Yarrowia lipolytica: one gene and its partners. The protein of the gene in region 3 binds, or shares a complex with, the protein of the main gene of each other region. Links are inferred from orthologs where the notes say so. Each region holds a gene or a part of one and is shown on either strand. Other genes may lie near its edges.

Evidence for each region.
Region 1: YALI1_D23693g (region 3) and YALI1_F04027g share a complex: the UniProt entries of both Saccharomyces cerevisiae proteins name them as parts of the SEA complex. The link is inferred for Yarrowia lipolytica from reciprocal best matches to the Saccharomyces cerevisiae genes SEA4 and NPR2.
Region 2: YALI1_D23693g (region 3) and YALI1_D01123g share a complex: the UniProt entries of both Saccharomyces cerevisiae proteins name them as parts of the SEA complex. The link is inferred for Yarrowia lipolytica from reciprocal best matches to the Saccharomyces cerevisiae genes SEA4 and IML1.

The regions. Positions count from the first base shown.
Region 1 is NC_090775.1:400,648-404,836, reverse strand, and holds YALI1_F04027g (uncharacterized protein), read left to right. Parts: upstream 1-2,084; coding exon 2,085-3,617; downstream 3,618-4,189. Other genes in the region: YALI1_F04045g (uncharacterized protein), read right to left, coding at 1-331; YALI1_F04001g (uncharacterized protein), read right to left, coding at 3,825-4,189. UniProt on the Saccharomyces cerevisiae protein: Component of the SEA complex which coats the vacuolar membrane and is involved in intracellular trafficking, autophagy, response to nitrogen starvation, and amino acid biogenesis. Mediates inactivation of the TORC1 complex in response to amino acid starvation.
Region 2 is NC_090773.1:110,201-118,161, forward strand, and holds YALI1_D01123g (uncharacterized protein), read left to right. Parts: upstream 1-2,186; coding exon 2,187-2,387; intron 2,388-2,907; coding exon 2,908-7,389; downstream 7,390-7,961. Other genes in the region: YALI1_D01188g (uncharacterized protein), read right to left, coding at 7,582-7,961. UniProt on the Saccharomyces cerevisiae protein: Component of the SEA complex which coats the vacuolar membrane and is involved in intracellular trafficking, autophagy, response to nitrogen starvation, and amino acid biogenesis.
Region 3 is NC_090773.1:2,366,899-2,372,736, forward strand, and holds YALI1_D23693g (uncharacterized protein), read left to right. Parts: upstream 1-2,365; coding exon 2,366-5,185; downstream 5,186-5,838. Other genes in the region: YALI1_D23668g (uncharacterized protein), read left to right, coding at 1-242, 295-341; YALI1_D23688g (uncharacterized protein), read right to left, coding at 357-1,868; YALI1_D23721g (uncharacterized protein), read left to right, coding at 5,232-5,359, 5,435-5,540. UniProt on the Saccharomyces cerevisiae protein: Component of the SEA complex which coats the vacuolar membrane and is involved in intracellular trafficking, autophagy, response to nitrogen starvation, and amino acid biogenesis.

The DNA of each region.
Region 1 (4,189 bases), on a different chromosome or scaffold from region 3:
TGGCGGAGGTGGTTCCGTCTCCGGCGGTCTCGTTGGTCTTGGAGGCAACCTCCTGCAGAAGACGAGCGCCCATGTTCTCAAATTTGTCCTCGAGAGTGATGGATCGGGCAACAGTGACACCATCCTTAGTGATCTTGGGGGAGCCAAACGACTGCTCAATGAGCACGTTTCGGCCCTTGGGGCCCAGAGTGACGGAGACGGCCTTGGCCAGAGTGTCGACACCCTTGAGCAGAGCGGCTCGGCCCTCGACGCCAAACTTGAGCTCCTTGTGAGCAAAGCCTCGGATCTGCTGGGGTCGCAGACGGCTGGATCGTGCAATGACTCGCTGCATTTTTGTAGTAGAGAGAAATTTGGTGGTTTGAATCAATCGACCTATGTGCGGTTGGGACAAGGCGAAAATTTATACCCAGGCCAAGGTTCGCGGTGGAAAGTTCCTTAGAGTTCTCTGCTGGGGTTAGGGCTCACCCCAGGGATTACTGGCTGTATTGGCTATGTGTGGCGGCGGGTGGCAAATCAAAGACTTGGTTTCGTGCTGTATTATGTGACGGTTCCGATTCCTTCACTTGTGGGAGCAATCCGCCTGTTCCGACCCATGTTCATTGCTGCCTCAATTACCTCTCTTTTTCAGGTCTCTCTAGTCTTCGGCCGAAGAGTATCCGAAGTCTGGGGTTGTAAAGCTTGTTTTTTTGCCCGCAGAAGAAGACGGGGCCAAAGGTGCCACAAGGAGTGCAAGAGCAGATCGGGAGTATTCGAGGTGTTGGCGCTGGGAAGAGACGGTGGTCTGGCCGCTCAGTTTCCGTACGCCATCAATTGACCAATTGACACCCCAGATCAACATCCGACAACCGCACACTGTTTTGAGTCTAACTTGAAGGCGTTGAATCCAAGTCTCACCGCTGGTTGTTCATACGATACAGAACATCCACCGCACGTACAGAGTAAATTAGTCATATCATATGAGACGCATGCCTGTCGCTGCCTGTCGCTGTCTGTCGCTGTCTGTCGCTGTGAGCTACTGCTGCTCTCCTGCACACGCACCAATTGATCCGTATTGAGCGGGGTATGTCGGCGGCAGTGGGCGGTAAAGTGGTTCGTGAGAGCTACGAGTGCGATGCTCGAAGCTCAGATGCAAGACAAGTTCAGGCGGAAGAGAAAGAAGCTCAGTTGATGGGTGCTAGGCTCGTGTTATAGGAGCAATAAATAGTGCACTGTGGCAAATCAGCACTCGATAAATCGTGAAAGCCGCAGCATGATGAACGTGGAACGGTCATAGCAACAACTCGTGCTGGTGAGTCTTTTATCAGCTCGCACTGAATGCACTGAATGTCTTCGCTTGTAAGGCTGCAAGTAAAATCTACAGCACGAGAGATACTTGGAGTATTATCGCAGTGAAATGACGTAGTTGGAGAAAAAGGAAAAAAGTAAAACGTATACTGAATGTACACGGTAGTGTGCAATTGCACAACTTGGAATGCGGGCATAACTTATACAGTATAGTGATTACTTTTACCGGCTTTCTTTGGAAGGCGAGTGTATTGTACGCGGCTACAGAACTGGAATTTTCCTCCTTCAACTAAACTTCCGACAAAAATAACAAGTCCTCAAAAATCAATAAAAGGCTCATCTCAGCATAGTAAGATGGTATTAGGACATCTAATTACATACAATTGCTTCTTCTAGATCTGTATCTATCAATTGAGAAATATCTTGTGGCTCTGTGACGTAATATCATGGATATGTCCTACTACAGGTGCCTTGTCTTCCTCAACTATAGGTAGCTCAACTACTTGTCACATTCAACTACACATGAACTAACTCAACTATAGTGAACAAACAAATGCATGGATTAGATTGCTTGAACAGCACCTTCCACCTATCATTCTCTGAAAAAATAAATAGAAGGCTCAATTCTTTTCCTCATTTTACTGAAGCGTCGTGTCCCCCTTCTATCTACCGTCTCTCCATCACTCCCTGTACTGCTCTCATCTCCCTCCCACAACAATGCCTATCGTTATCATGCAGGTGGGACATCACCACATATCATATCACCCTCACCACGTTAAGCCTCACCTCAAACACACGACATGGACTTTTACGGCTTTGCGCCGATTCTGGCCATTTTCTACTCCACGTTCCATCCCACCGAGGGTCCACGAGTCGAGGTTCAGGTGCCCCGCGACTCGATTGTGCCTGATGCCGAATCTCTGGATCAGCCCGGAGCTCTGGTGGCCTTCAACGCGGTGAAAAACTACGTCATCCCCAAGCCGCCTCTGTGCAACCGCGTCGTAACCATTAAAAGTAACGCCTACCGAGTCTCTTCGTACCCGGTTCACATCTACTCCAACGAGTACGCGCGAAACTCGTTCATTTTCAACTTTGCATTCGTCTTCAGCTACGAGTCAGCCTCGGGAGCCTACGATGCAGCCATCAGACGGATAGGCAAGATGTTCGAGGCGCTGGAGATCCAGAGCAAACTTCTGTCGGCCCGACCAGACATTGTCTTCATCGACAATATCATCCAGCAGCTGTTCCAGGACCTAAACAACTACTCGGAATGCCTCGTGGCCATCAACGACTCCAACGCCATCAACATTAAACTGTTTCCCATTTTCCCGTCGCCTCCAGACCTCAGAGCGTCGTACGTTCCCATAGCAACTGTACGTCTGGAACAAATGGTGGACGAAAACTGGGATCCCACCATGGAGAAGATTGTGCCGTTTATCAATGGGATCAACTCCATTCGTCGGATTGCAGACCTCGCAGATGCAGACTACAACCTCACCAAGGATTGCATTCAGCAGCTCATGTACTACAGATGTATCATCATCGTGGACCTGTTCCAGTTCTCCAACATTTACGCTCCCACCTCAGACATTGGAGATTTCATTGAAGACGCAGATATGGGTCGAGAATGCCAGGCTTATGTCTTTTCACCTGCAGGAACCCTCGGGGGCATGATGCCTGCTCCAGGACTCAATAGAAAACGACACATGTCACGAACCAGCTTGTTTTCGAATGAACTCTCAACTTCTTTCAGACAACGATATGAGCGCCAGATGAGAGATCAAAGTGGGCACTTGAGTATTCCTCCTTTGTCTTCGTCGGCCACATCTGCATTGTCTACCTCATCATCATCGTCTCTTTCTCAGCGGTCCAACTCGTTCTCTTCTTCTCACTCCATGTCAGGAACTGTTCCCTCCGTTGTACAACTGTTCAAGTTGTACAAGTCGTTGCATCAGGGCCAAACTCTCGGCGACTGGTATGCAGAGAACCAAAAGGAGCTCGTCAACATTGATATTCGGCGCTTCATCACCTTTGGCGTTATCAAGGGTATTATTTACAGAGCTCATTCATATCCCATTTTGGAAGGCATCACTCCTTTCAACAGAAACAGACACGTGCAGGACGTTTCCGCAACTCCTCGGGGAGGAAGACGACGAGTGGGTCTGGGCCCTGATCAGGAGCGAATCAAGAAAGAGGAGGTAGATGGAGTCCTGGCCAAGCTCGTAAAGCAGCCAAAAAACTTTGACGCTATTTCTACAGCTTTACAGCTGCCCAAGGAAGATGTGGAGAAGGTACTTAGTTCCGAAGGTGAATGGGCTATTGTGACGGCGTAAGGAGATGATTAGTTAGTTTTTATTTATATGCATATGTCCAAACCAAACCACAGAAACGAGTACAAGTATTGGAGGATAGGTGTTCACGGTAGAAGTCGAGGGTAGTGAGGACCAGAAGCTCGTGGGAGACAGGACGGAACACAATATGGCTTATAGATAGGGAGTTTGGAGTTTTTGGTAGTTTTTGGCACTCGCATAACCAGATTTCTAGCAATACGTATCACTCTTGCCTTTCTGTCTCAGGTCCAACAAGGCCTCGTTCAGATTACCCTCCTTGTTAGACTTCTTCAACTTGACAACCTCATCAGGATCAAGAGATCTTCCAGCACGCTCCTCCAGGGCCTTTGTACTCATGGCATAGTATGTCACCGCCTGTTTTTCGGCCGTGGTCTTCTTTCTGTGAGACGATTGAAGTCTTACTGTGAACTTTGATGCTTTTGCTCCATCTTCAGTAAGGTTGATCTTACCGTTCTTGATCTCAATATAAGCATCATAGGACGTTTTTATCGTCCACGAAACCCCCGCGTCGCCTTTTTCTCTTTTGAAAGTAAACTGCTGCGGAGTACCGATGG
Region 2 (7,961 bases), about 2.3 Mb from region 3:
GGACTGGTTTGGAGGTCATATTCCACTTCGGCCAGTTGTGGCCAGGATGGAAGTGTCAGATCAGCCTCCAGTCAGGAATCGAGATAGTAGAAATTAAAGAGCAATAATCAGTACTAATTGTAGGTGTGGGTATAGTACGATAGTGTCATGGCTTTGTAGTGTGTACCATGATATCGTACATCGTACATTGTACTTGTATGCTTATATCTCATGTCCTTGTACAATTAGTACCTCTCGTAAACCCACGATGACTCCTCCCTGAACACAGTTCTGTTTAGAGCTTGATGCAGTGTTCAACAAAATTACGTAGCGGTGATTTCCTGCTTATAAATAGCCGTTGTTGTTTTGATTCAACCGGTATCATTGGCCTGTCTCAGCCTTTGGATCCCATTTACCGGTCTTAGAACAGTTTCTTACACATGCCGGCCACTTATCTATGGTTGCTACACCTCTATATCCCGCACGTCGAGGCAGCCTTGGAAACTATCATCTCCAACTTTGATTGTGGACAAACACGTACTTGTACTCATACCAGAAAGAGAGAAACACGTACATACCCGTACATGAAGAGTGTGGGGAGAATTAGGACTCCGGTATGGCCATGTGGCTCATAATCTGTGTTTGTTAGTGGTCCAGTATGAATGTAAGTACAACAGGTACATACTGTAGATACATGAACTTCAAGTTGGGTACTTGCAAGAGAAGAGTGAAGCCATGTCATAACCGCTACTGACGCATTCGGTATTGCGTCTCAGTTGCGTCTCCGACACGTCGGACGAGCAAAACGTGGCATTTTACACACAAAGCGACCAAAGCCTTCTGAGCAACTGGCCGTCTACATTCCGGTGTTGATCAGTTCGAGCATAACGTGTGGGATTTAAGACGAAGATAAGATGGTGTATTAGCGTGGTAGAGACCTGGTCACGTGACATATACAAGGTGTGAAGGCAGGGCATCTCTGTGAAAGACCAGACCATTATCTCTTAAGACTACTGCCAACACAGCGTGTACACATACTCTTAGTCACCACATGGCCTCGGCTCAGTAGGACCCTGCCTGAACCTATTTTCGGACAATAGGGCTGAGCTCATAGCAAGCTTTTGCCTTTGGATGGGCGATCAATTAAACCTACACAGTGAAGTAGAAGGAACAAGTCCGAAAGCTCTTGAGTGAAACAGTGTGGTTATATGAAGCACTCTCAGTAAGCACTAATACTTCTATGGCTCAATGGGGTAATTCGTCCCGAGACTTCTACCTCTCCCGGGCCTGTTGAAGGTGATTCTGGTGAATACACTTAGGGGTTCGTTGAAACGAAGTGTGCTGGGGGTGACTTTTAGGCATCCCAGAGAGAAAAACGTTAGAGAAGAGCAGATAATTCAGGGGAACAAGTACGAAACGTGAAGATTTGTCTGAGAAAATTACCCATTGGCTTGAAAATCCACCGTATTGGTGGAGGGGTCGGAGTGCGAGGTGTTAGAGATCATTTTCAGAGTTTTGGTGGATGTTCTTTTGACGATAGCAAGATGAGAACATATCAACCGTCGAAATATGACACTGACGTTGATATTTGCAAAAAGAAGGCACATGATTGTCTTCCCCGGATATATCTGAATGATTCCAAAGTTTTTTTTTATTATTATAACGTGACTATTCTTCAAATTATTGTCCTGTCCATATTACTTGCTCCGAACAGCACCCGAAGTATTTGATTCCCTTAAGATTGCTCTAAATACCTGGTACAAGGGGGAAAGATTTGGTGTTATCAAAAGGGTAGCGTAATTGAACACAGCACATTGGGTGGAGAGTCCCTTCCACAAAATGTGAAAACAATAATTTCAACCTTCTCCCGCCCTCCTATGCCAAGTCTATCTAACAAATATAGTCAAGAAACCCAACTATATCCTCAAATTCTAAACTGCAAAGATCGTTTTAACAAGTTGGTCCCACTCCACGAATAATGGCATCACATAAATTTCAAAACCACCATTGAATTTCCCTTGCTCGTATCTTGAAATGTCATCCCTGAGTGTCATCTGATACACTCCCGATAACCCACAAATACCCCGCCAGCTCAAACTCTAGCTTACATAGATTAGGCGTGTTTCGGGAGCACCAAAACATCAGCCATAAAGATCACGACTTTACTTGACCAACCCCACAACACAGGACACCATAACATCAACGCCATGACGACATGGGTTTCGTTGCAGGCGTGGACACACGACCAGAAAACGTGCGCCGAAGAGGTCATTGTGGATGTGACATCGATTCCTGGCGCCTCGGAGGGCGATATCGCCGAGTTGAAGAGTGGTGACAAGAGCCATAAATTGTTGTTTCAGGTGACGCCCATTCCCCAGGAAGTTTTGGATCGAATTCCTACTTGTCAGGTGAGTCACACAAATTCCAAACGACTGACCAAAGGTCAGGACGCCAGCTAGCATTGCAGGGAGAGAGTATCTTGCAAGGAGTGCGCTAGACGATCGACGCAACTCGCACGAGCAACACAGAACAACATCAAGATAAGAACGAATCCACTGATTTCCAGATGTCATTGATTGAATGTGATCTCTAGTCGTGGGCACCAATCAAGATCATTGGTCCAATGCCTCTATCTCAATCAAGGCTTGGGTAGTGTTCATGGTTTGATCTGCTATCGTGTGTACTGCAACAAATCAATCCCACGAACGCTCCTTCTAGCAATGGGTCTAATGGTTGGAAAGTCGTATTTCATTCTGTGGAGTGACTATGGCTTCTTGTGCAACTGTGTGTCTGCCTACCTGTGGCACACGGTTGTCTGGTCATTCCAGAAGTCGCTCTGTGTGGAAGCTCGTCTCATACATCACCTTACTACATTTTATATTGAAGGTGTTTCTTGTTTTTCTTACCTCATTTCATCTATTAACGCAGCTCTCTATCAAATCAGGTAACCTGCTTTCCTCTCTCGGGGTAGCTGCCCGATCACAGGTCCAAATCAAACTGCGCAAAAAGGAACAGGTGGAAGCCGACCTGGTGGAAATTTGCTTCAAGGAAACTTACCTGACCCGAGCAGACATGTGGCAGATCACAACCATGCTGCGGGAAAGTTGCGTGTACCACCAGAAACGAATAGTCTTTTGTGACGTGATTCGATGCTGGGTCGATAGCATTTTCAAGAATGGCCGCAAGGTGTTTTCTGCTTACATTGGGCCCAACACCAACATTGTGTTTCGGTCCGAGTCGTCCCGTATGATCATCATCATCCAACTAAGTCAGGAAACGTGGCATTTTGAGGAGACTGGCGAAATCATCTTCCACAGAATGGTCAATTCGCTTCTCCCTGATATTTTCAAGCAATGGGAAGAGAATGAACACCACCATACAGTGACTATTGTGCTGTTCACATCAGTTTCCATGGATTCTCATGCAGTCAAGCTAAAGCGCGGAGAGAAAGCAAAAGACGTACAGGACTTCTACAGAGTAGTCTGCGATCAGGTCCAACTGTCTCAATGGGAGCAGATCATGGTGCGATTGAGATTCGAGTTCCAGAACTTTGCCAAGGAGGTTCTGACGGAATCCCATGCCAAAAGCCATACTGAAATCCGAGGACGCATTCTACCCTCGGTCAAGAGCAACATTTTGGGTGCGATCACCCTCGCGGCGTCTCTGGTACATTCACCGGCCATTGACAGAGACCTAAGGAGAACCAATGTGGAGGTTATTGTGGTGTCACCAGGTTCTGGAGTCTATGAAGTTGAGTACGATGCTCTATATAGAGCGTCGGAGAAGATTTCATCCACTGAGGTTGGAGTAGACATCATTTGCATGTCCAAGGCTCCTCTACATGTGACACCTTTGTTTCTCTACAAACCGAAGAAGTGCTCGAATCAGCTTGAGTACTGTGTTCCTTCTTGGATTGATATTTCTTACTATGGAGACTCGGACTTTTTTACCAATCAGTGGGTCCCTCGGTGCAAAATCTACGAGATCCAAATGATGGGAGTCATGGAAAACGAGCTCTCGGCTATCACGATTGACTATCTGAACAAACCCAGCGGAAAGAAGCCGCTGTCAGAGTACTGTCGCGAGTACGATGCTTCGTTGTTTGGCCCAATCGCTGTAGAACTGTCTGTGGAGGATGCTGCATCTGTGGTGTCCAAGATGCGGTCCGATACGTTCCCCAAGCTGCCTGTGAAACAGCTTCTTAGCAGCAAGGGCAGTATCTCTTCTTTGCATGCACCCACAGCTGTCACCTCCAAAACTCCTCCTCCTAAGGCATCAGTGAAGGTGGCTGATGTGAGGCCCAGCCCAGCGGCGTCCAAACCCCGTGTCAGTGCTCTGACGTCTCTTTTGGCGTTTGGAGTTAGGGCAGAAAAGAGTGCTCCTGCTTCTCCCGCTTTGTCTGCTGTCAACACATTGTCTTCTATCCAGTCTATGGACTTGAGACGTGATAATGACAGTGTTAAACGAGACACTGAGAGCATAGTAACAGACGACACTGTCCACAATACCAAGGCTGAGCCTAGAATAACAGAGATTGCGCCCATAGCACCTTCTCTGCCTTTTGCACCCAATCTCAAGCCAAAAAAGAGCACTTCTACCCTTTCTCAGTCTCCCACCTACAACCGAATTGCAGCTACACCTGACCAGGAGGTCGAACGGCGGTCTTCTCTCAGCCAAAAGGTGCAAATGGGACTCTCGGGTTCTCCTCTAGACCACAGAGGCAAGGTAGCCAAGGCTGCATCGGCCAATGCCAAGTCTATCAACACAGAAACTACGCCTGAGAAGAGAAACATGATGTGGAGGAACATCAGAACACCGTCCAACATTTCCCAGGACGAAATGCTCGACATTCTAACTTACTCTCGATGGAGAACGGTATATCCTCAGAAGACCAAGCGTCGGTCGGCCAAATGGAAGCTTCTGGCTTCTCCAGCCGCACTACCTCTTCGAACCAATATCTTTCCCACCGTGGCAGAACTCCAGACAGAGTACCGGTTCCAGGTGTACGATGTGAGTTTGGACACAGATATGGAGAATGTGCTGGGTATCCATGGCTTGTTCCGAGAGATGGTGAGTGTCCGGCTCTGCAAGGGCTTCCAGCTTGCTATTGGATCCCGTGTACGCCACGTGGAGTCTCAGAGAAGCGATGGTCGGCCTTCAGCTATCACCACAGACATTGGGAAAGATGCTCTAGGAGCTGTGGTGTATCTCACTACCGGTGATCAAGTTCACCGAATCTCCTGTGACTACTCTGGCATGATGAATGTCCAGATTTATCATGCTATTGATAAGGTAGATATTGAGGAGCCCGTTTTCGACATATATGCTCGTCGAACCTACTCGGACAAGTTCAAGCATTTCATATTCCCACCGTTCGACACTTCCTCTAAGCGACTGAACTGGAACTTGTATGACCATTCACTTGCTGGGTACGATACGGCAGGTTCTGCAGCCACTCAGACCCGTTTGAACCAGCTGCGGGTGGTTCTGATCCCCAGTTTCTTGTCGCGATCCAAGAATCTCGGTCATGACGACTCCTCAGAAGTGTACAATGCCGAGGAGGTCCGATTGGATGGTTTGCGACGCATTCTTGGAGGTATTTACCGCCATAGCATCTCCCGAGATGAGGATAAGGAGCGAGCCAAGATCGCACCCAACCTCAAGTTTTACACTGGCGAGTTGGAGGACTTTTTATTTCAGATTGTGGAGTCTAATCCAGCTGAATTGGCTGGTGGTAGAGATTCTCTTTTTATGAAACGTAATCAGCGATTCGACAAGAACATCAAGCTGGCTCAGCTGGCGACTGAGCTTCAGGCTCCCAAGGGTGGCATCCGATTTTTTGACCGACGATGGCACTGGAAGTCATACCCTCACTGTTTCATTGGTCAGGATTTCGTCGAGTGGCTGATTGACAATTACTCCGACATTGACACTCCTGATGAAGCTGTGGCGTATGGAAACGAGCTGATGAAGAAGGACTTCTTCGTGCACGTTGAAGACCGACATGCTTTCCTTGATGGTCATTACTTCTACCAGCTCAAGAGTGAGTATGCCACTGAAGCCACTGACAGCAAGCCTGCGGAGGAGAAGAGTGGCTGGTTCAACAGTAAGCGAAGTATGGCCTCCGTCAGTTCAGAGAAGTCATTGGGACGGTTTAAAGGCTCTCGAAATCAGTCTGTTCAGTCGTTTGGTGACTTCCTGTCCCTTTCTCGAGTCACTTCCAGGTCTTCGAACGACCAGAAGGAAGAGGAAATCAACCCAATCACCGTGGAGATTTCCAAGTCTGTGCGTGTTGATCTGGATCCTTCCAAGAAGTCGTATCGACCAGAGACCGTGTTGATTCACCACGATCGAATCCACAACCCCCGGAAGTGTTTCCATCTGCGATTCGAATGGGCCAACACCACCCCCAAGTTCATTGAGGACTACATTTCTGGTCTCACTCGAACTTGTGAGCGATACGGACTCAAGTTGGTCGAGTTGCCCATTCTCGAAGTGTCTGCTCTTCTCGAACACAACCCCTTTGCTTCAGAGATCACTCTGGACATGCCTACTCTGGACCAGCTGAGCGGACTGCCTCCCCATGTGCTGGAATACTACGCTAGCGACCCTCATGCGATTGCACGCGAGATTCTGCATCATTTCGGCTTTGTGATCGACACTCTGAGTATGTCTGACTGGAAGCTTGCTGAAGTGCAGATCCGGAACTCGTGGGGTGTGCCCACTTATAAGTACAGTCAATGGGTTGAGAAGAATGGTCTGTTGATTGCTCAGGTGGTCGGTGATCAGATTATCATGATCCCCAACAACCTGCAGCTCAATCGTCAGTCTGGAGCTCAGTCAAATGCCATTCAGCTGCAGAGTGAGGCTCAGGGTATCATTCTGGAGATGCAGTATCTCATGTGTCGGTCTGAAAAGGTGCGGGATATGCTTGGTAAGGTGAACTTGTCCCCTGAGGCATCTCCTGGCACCATGACTCCGGGGGAGGAGGGCTCCAAGAACGGTACCCCGAAGCTAGCAATTGAGGCCAAGATGGAGGGCCGAGTTGAAAGTCCTCAAGTTGAGTGGAGGGAGGACGTGGAGATTGCCCCAGAAGTTGAGCACAAGGGCGGAGCTGATGGTGATGAAAATGATGAGGAAGGTGATGAGAAATCCGAGGAGGGTGACAAGGGCGAGAGTGAGAATGAGAACGCAGGTATGGGGATGGAGCAAGATGGTGAGAACGAGAATGAGAACGAGAATGAGAACGAGAACAGCAAGGACAACAAGGCGAACGAAACCACCTCCGAGGTCAAGGAGGTCCCTGCTGGTGTTGAAATTGAACACAAGGAACATGTCGAAGAGGATAAGAGTGACGGGCCTGAGCCGAAGAAGGAAGATAAAGGCAAAGAGGTTGAAGACGACAAATAGGTTATATTTATTCATGGTATTTGAAAAACGTCGAGTATTGGTCTATAGTAATTAAGGAATTGTATGAGCTACTGAACATACTAGTACCGTATGTAGTTCACAGTTCTATGGGTCGTATAAACTTATATTTGCTAGTTACAATCGTGGTTTCATCCCATCTAGGGTATGATACTGTTCGCCTGCGCTAACTTCCTATTTGGCAAGTCGCTGGGCAGCCTTGAAAACGTCGGCAAGAACACCAGCAGCAGTGACCTCGTCTCCAGCACCAGCTCCCTGGATGACCAGAGGGTTGGGGTATCGCTTGGTCTTGAAGGCGATAATGTTATCGGAGCCCTTGAGGGAGGCAAAGGGATGAGAGGCATCGTACTTCTGAATACCAACCTCGACCTTGCCGGTGCCCTTGTTGATGGAACCGACGAATCGGAGAACCTTCTTCTCGGCGAAAGCCTCGTCTCGAAGCTTAGCAAGGTCGGCGTCATACTCGGGGAGCTTCTGGAGGAACTCATCGGCGGAAGAGGCAGTCTCGAGGGGCTTGGGAATCAGGGACTGAACAGGGAAGGCAGTGGGAGACT
Region 3 (5,838 bases):
CGATGCCCAGCAGTTGATGGTGGCGTCTGGAGCCATCCAGTCAAGTGGAAGCATGGCTCTGATCTCCATCATGGACCCTGCTATCTCCCTTGGAGTCGCCTACTTGGCCTACACTCTCTACGTTGACCCTCAGAGGCGAGCAGATCTGCTGCACATGTACGAGTCGCTTCCTCAGTTGGCTCTTCAATGTTGTGGAAATGTATCGCAAGATGGAACGGGGCTTCTTTCCCTGGAAAACCTGGGTCTGATGGAGGGTGAGAGCTCTATAATACACTCACACAGATGCGTCACTAGAACTGCGTCTCACAAGAATTGCCATTCTAAAGTCTCCACCCGCTTAAGTAGTAAAATGCGAATTAATATGTACAAACTTCTCCTCTCAATCGGAACGCTCTCTGCCGATTGTCCTTCATTCTGAGTCCTCGTCTCAGGTAGTTAATAATGAGCGAAAACCGCCGCAGGGTCTCGGCATGCACCCGCGCAGTGATGGACTCCTCATACTCGGGCACCCGTCGCTTGCGCGACTCCAACGTCTTGTAGCAGTCTCGCTCAATGTCCTCCATTGCCTTGATCAAGGCTCGAGATTTGATATTCATCAACGCAATGTCTGACGCGAGCACCGACAGCGTGGAAAGATCTCGGTAGAACTCCCACACAATCCTGATCATAGTGAAGTACACGTCTGTGGACACGGTAGCAAAGTAGAGGTTGCCGGAACGGGTTTTGACGGCGTCAAACAGAGCCACGGAGTCAGCAGGGGACTCGAACTTCTCCACCAGAAGCTGCAGAGACTCGTTGAGCAGAAGAGGGAACCCGGCAGCCACAGGCGGCAGTTCAGAGGGGAGGTTTTTTCTGCTCTGGCCAATGTCCTCGATCTCATCGAGCTGCTTGTTCATGAACTCAAGAATATCGTAGTCAGAATCCAATCGAATCAGCTTCTTGAGTTGCTCCATCATAGCAATTTCCACCTCGGTACATTCCTTGAGATCCAGAGAATCAATCCGATCATGTCGAACATCCATATCGGGCTCGGCACAGATCTCAACAAACATGTCAGGAACACCAGAGTTGAACAGATTCACATATGGCGAGTTGATAGAGGAAAGCTCGACTCCACTGGCTTGTCTGATAGCATCCAAGTTTGCGGTTTCACGGGACTCGTACTCAGACTCATGTGACATTGGTGGCGTTCCTGCTCCTGTTGCTGTCTCCGTAGCCGCTTCTTCCCCCATAACTTTTGCAAAAATCTTTTCAAACGGCGCAGAGCTCCCCAGAGCTCCTCCAAACTCGGACGGGGGAATAACGTGTGTACTTATTTGGTCGCTGTTGCCTCTCAACGGCGACATATCCAGGTTCTGGGGCATGACATATCGGTTCTTAGGCTCTTCGGGGAACATATCAGACTTTCCCCATTGATCGAATCCGCCGGACCAGTCGAACGTGGCATTGTTGTGATCGTCTTGGCCAAGCGCGTCGAATGCCTTGGTCTCGTCCTCCATGGCATCGAATTTGAATCGGTTGGTCTTGTTAAATCCGGAGCTGAAATCGTCGAAACCGATATCTGAGCTGTCCAGGTTGTCGTCGTTGAAAGAGAACTTGCTAAATGTCAGGGGATCGTCGCCCTGCTCTTTCGTGGCTTTCTTGAATGCAGCAAACGGGTCCTTGAACGAACCCCTAGCCTTGGTGGAGGGAGGTTCAAACTCGCCAATAAAGGTGTCTTCATAGTCGGATTTTTTTCGCAGCACGTAGGCCGAGTGCAGGAGCCGCGTCTGCCGGCCTGTACAAACCTTGTACTGTGCTCTGAGCATTTTTGAGAGCAGTGTCGGAGTAGCGGAGACACTGAAAACGGTGTTGAAAATCAGGTGCATAAAAAAATGATTTGAGATGCACACTGTAACCTTGTTTAGTAGCTAATCTTCCAGCTACGTTTAGTTGGGATATTACTTGGCTTTTTAATTGACTAGTTGATGGTGTGGAGGACTACACTGTCAGTTCTACAGACGATTGTGGGTTTTTGCTGAGTCGAAAATCTTGTCGAATGACCCTCGCTGTCGTTTATACGTCTTACCCCTTGGGCTATCTCGTATACTCTCCTACTGCTAAGCAAAACACATTGTGTTCTCCAGCCCGAATCGAACTCACGATAACATCCGACTCTAGGCGCCATGCACTATCATTATCACCCTACATCTCCGGACTACATCACAGCATCCCCGGATTTCGACAAGCAGAGTCGACCCAGGGCCCAAACCAAGACGCGACATAGCTACATCTCTGCTGACCTCACCGCTACTTTCAGAATTCGAAGCGGACGTAAATTGACGATTCTACGAGCCAATACCCAACTCAGGTCATCCCCAACAAGATGACGACTTTTGGATCAATCGCTCACGCGTACCAATGGGACTCTCTTCCTGGTCCCGGCGTCGACGGACACCACATCATCGGCGTGTCGCCTACCCGAGACGAGGTGTCGCTTTACCAACTTCCCCTCAATCACAAATCGTTCTTCAAAGACAGCTTCACCGAGCCAGAGAAGATCAGGTATCGAAGCGGCTTTTCGGCGATCCACTGCTCGGCATACTCGCCCGTCAACAAGGGCATCATTTCTGTGGCGCAGCTCAACGGATCGGTGCTTCTATTCGACATCAACAACCCCGAGTCGCAGGTGGTCAAACTACGCTCCAAACAGAGCCGAACCTGCAACGCTCTAGCCTTCTCTGACAATGGAATTCTCGCGGCGGGACTGGAAAAGACACGTAACGACAACTGCCTGCATATCTGGGACGTCAATGCTGTTGTGGAGGGCGGCAATATCACTCCTCTCAGCACCTATCTCCCGAACGAGATTGTGTCGAGTCTGGAGTTCATCCCCAGGACTCATAACGTGCTCTGTGGCTCATACAAGCTGTTGCGTGAAATCGACACCAGATCCGGAACTCCTCTGTACCAGTGTGCCACTCGATGCACTCTAGGAATCACCACCTACCCCCACGAACCCAACTACTTTGCATCCTACGGAGAAGATGGAAGCATGGCCGTCTGGGATCGACGTCAACTGCGACAGCCCGGAGGAAACTCGTCAAACGAGCCGATGCTACTATTTCCACGTCTTCTTTCCGAACTCCCCAGAAAAGCGAACGCTACTCACTTGAGATATTGCACCACCAGACGGGGAGAAATGACCGTCTATGGAAACACAGACTCGTCCATTCGTCGAATCGATATCGGTCTGGCTGTTCGAAGTGATGATGACGTGTATCAGAATCAACAGAACAACGAGCCCACATCAAGTACGTCTCAGAATCGGTTTTTCGACTTCCAAAAGCCACCGTCTGACCCCACAGCTTCTCTTGACAAATACCTGTTTGTGCGGTCGTCCAAGGACGTGGAGATGCCGCTCGACAAGCTTCTGGGCTTCGACTACATCCACGCCGAGCCTGAAAAGTGTCCTGTCGAATACATTTGCATGCGACGAACAGGCCAGGTGTACTGTTTCCGGCCCAAGGAGTCGCCCGAGGTTCTGCGGTTCGATCCCCTGAACACCCTCACGTTCAGCAATGCCACGAACGTGTTTTTTGAGACGCCCAGTGATGAAGTCCGAGAAGTCGATTTCAAAAATCAGCGCGAATCTGTCGTTTCGGTGGTTTCTCCAGACGTGTCTTCTGACGAAGAAGAGCCCTCCCCACGTGCTCGTAACTACAGCAACGACTCTCAGATCGGGCTGATGAAGCTCAGAGACATTTTGGATAACGACATCTCCACCATCATTCGAAAACGAGCTCTGGCCGGCTACGGACTCGACACTGCTACCAACAAGAGTCTGCTCAAGAGCCACAATCACAGTCTCTGGCCTGCCCATCTGAAAAACACGTGGAAGTGGATTTCGCGGGCCCAAAAGGCCGATATTGACCGGTCAGTTGTCTCTGAATTCTTTGACCTTGGCTACGAGGGCATTCTGGACGTGTGGCAGGGTGTCCAGGGTCTTGCTCTGCAGCAGAATCGATTATTGAAAAAGGACGCTACGGAGTCCCAGTTTGCCCAGGCTATTCAGCTGGCGATGGAGACGGAGTTCACACGCAAGATTTACATCTCCGCGTCTGTGGCGGGCACAAAGAAGCAGTTCCAACGACAACTATGCTTGTATGTTGCTGGTTGGGATTTCTCCTACGACAAGCTTGAAGCCGAGATCCAGAAAGCCGAAGGTAAGGGCGAGTACGAGAAGGCAGCAGGTTGGGCGGTGTTCCATGGCAACGTGGAGCGAGCTGTCCAGTGTCTTGCTGGGTCCAAGAAGGAGCGGCATCGAATCATTTCGACCGCCATTTCAGGATATCTGTCTCAATCTACAAATGCCAACTCTTCCTGGCGAGAGCAGTGTCGACGGCTTGCTTCTGAGCTGGACAATGCCTATTTTCGGGCCATTTTCGCCTATATAGCCGATGGAGACTGGCTGGATGTGCTTGCTGAGTCTTCTTTGCCTCTCAAGGAACGCCTGGGTGTGGCTCTTCGGTTCCTTCCCGACAATGATCTCACCAGTTATCTGAACCGACTGGGGGATCAGGCTGTTAGCAGAGGAGAGCTGGAAGGCATTATTTTGACCGGAATCACTCCCCGGGCAGTTGATCTGCTACAGTCTTATGTGGATCGAACTGGTGATATCCAAACGGCAGCGCTGTTGACCTCGTTTGGAGCTCCTCGGTTCTTTGAGGATGAGCGGTACTCGCAGTGGATTCTGTCGTACCAGCAGCTGCTCAACCAGTGGGGAATGTTCAAGGAACGTGCTTTGTTTGATATTGCGCGTACCAAGCTGAGCCAGAATTCCTCTGGATCGGTTACTGCGGTCACCAAGCCTCGACAGGTGTTTCTTCGGTGCTCATACTGCAACAAGAACATTTTCAAGGACGAGTCTAAGCCCGCAACTACGTCTACTCCATCTGCAAAGTGCCCGCATTGCAACTCGCCTCTTCCTCGGTGTGCCGTGTGTCTGCTGACCATGGGAGAAGCTATGCCAGACACCCGCGTTGAGCAGGAGAAGAACAACTTTGCTTTCCACCAGTTTTCGCATTGGTTCAGCTTCTGTCTGAGCTGCAATCATGGCATGCATGCGGGTCATGTGCAGAAATGGTTTTCCAAGCACGATGTTTGTCCTGTTCCGAATTGCAGCTGTTTGTGTAACAGTATTTAACTGGATGGCAATCGGAACGAGTCAACGGAACAAAAAGCCCCTGGTCATGAGTCGACAACTTCCCCAAACCCCACCTCACTGTCCAACCGCTTCTTACTTAACGAATCAACTTATTATTGAAGAATGTGTTTACCTTCTTGATATGGGATCATGGAGCATATACAAGTACATAATGTACTAGAATTCTCGGCTTAGATCCTCCACATACATGCAAGGCCTTGTTGGGTGCTCCTGAAACACCTCTGCGAGTTCCCTGAACTGTTGGAGATGTTGCCTACAGGAGCTCGAAGAAGATATCGATGGGGGGAATGGTACAAGGTCGGAAACGGACCATAGAGGGCTACATGCTTGGTGAGCCTGTTATTGGCGTGTGCAAGACTGGCCAATTGTGTTGTGGCATTCTGGAGAGATATCGAGATGTCCACACACGGGTTGCTGGTGGCTTAGGTAATTATATGCCTACAGTATTTACTTGTAACAATACTGTAGCTTACTTCTAAATCATTTTTATTCAATTAATCTTCAACTAAGACTCTGGTGAGTCAACTAATTAATCTAGTGAGACTGAACATACAATCGCACTATCTCGAACACTAGCGAGGGATATTTGAACAACTAATAGAGAACGACTAAGCCGACAATAAAAACTACTT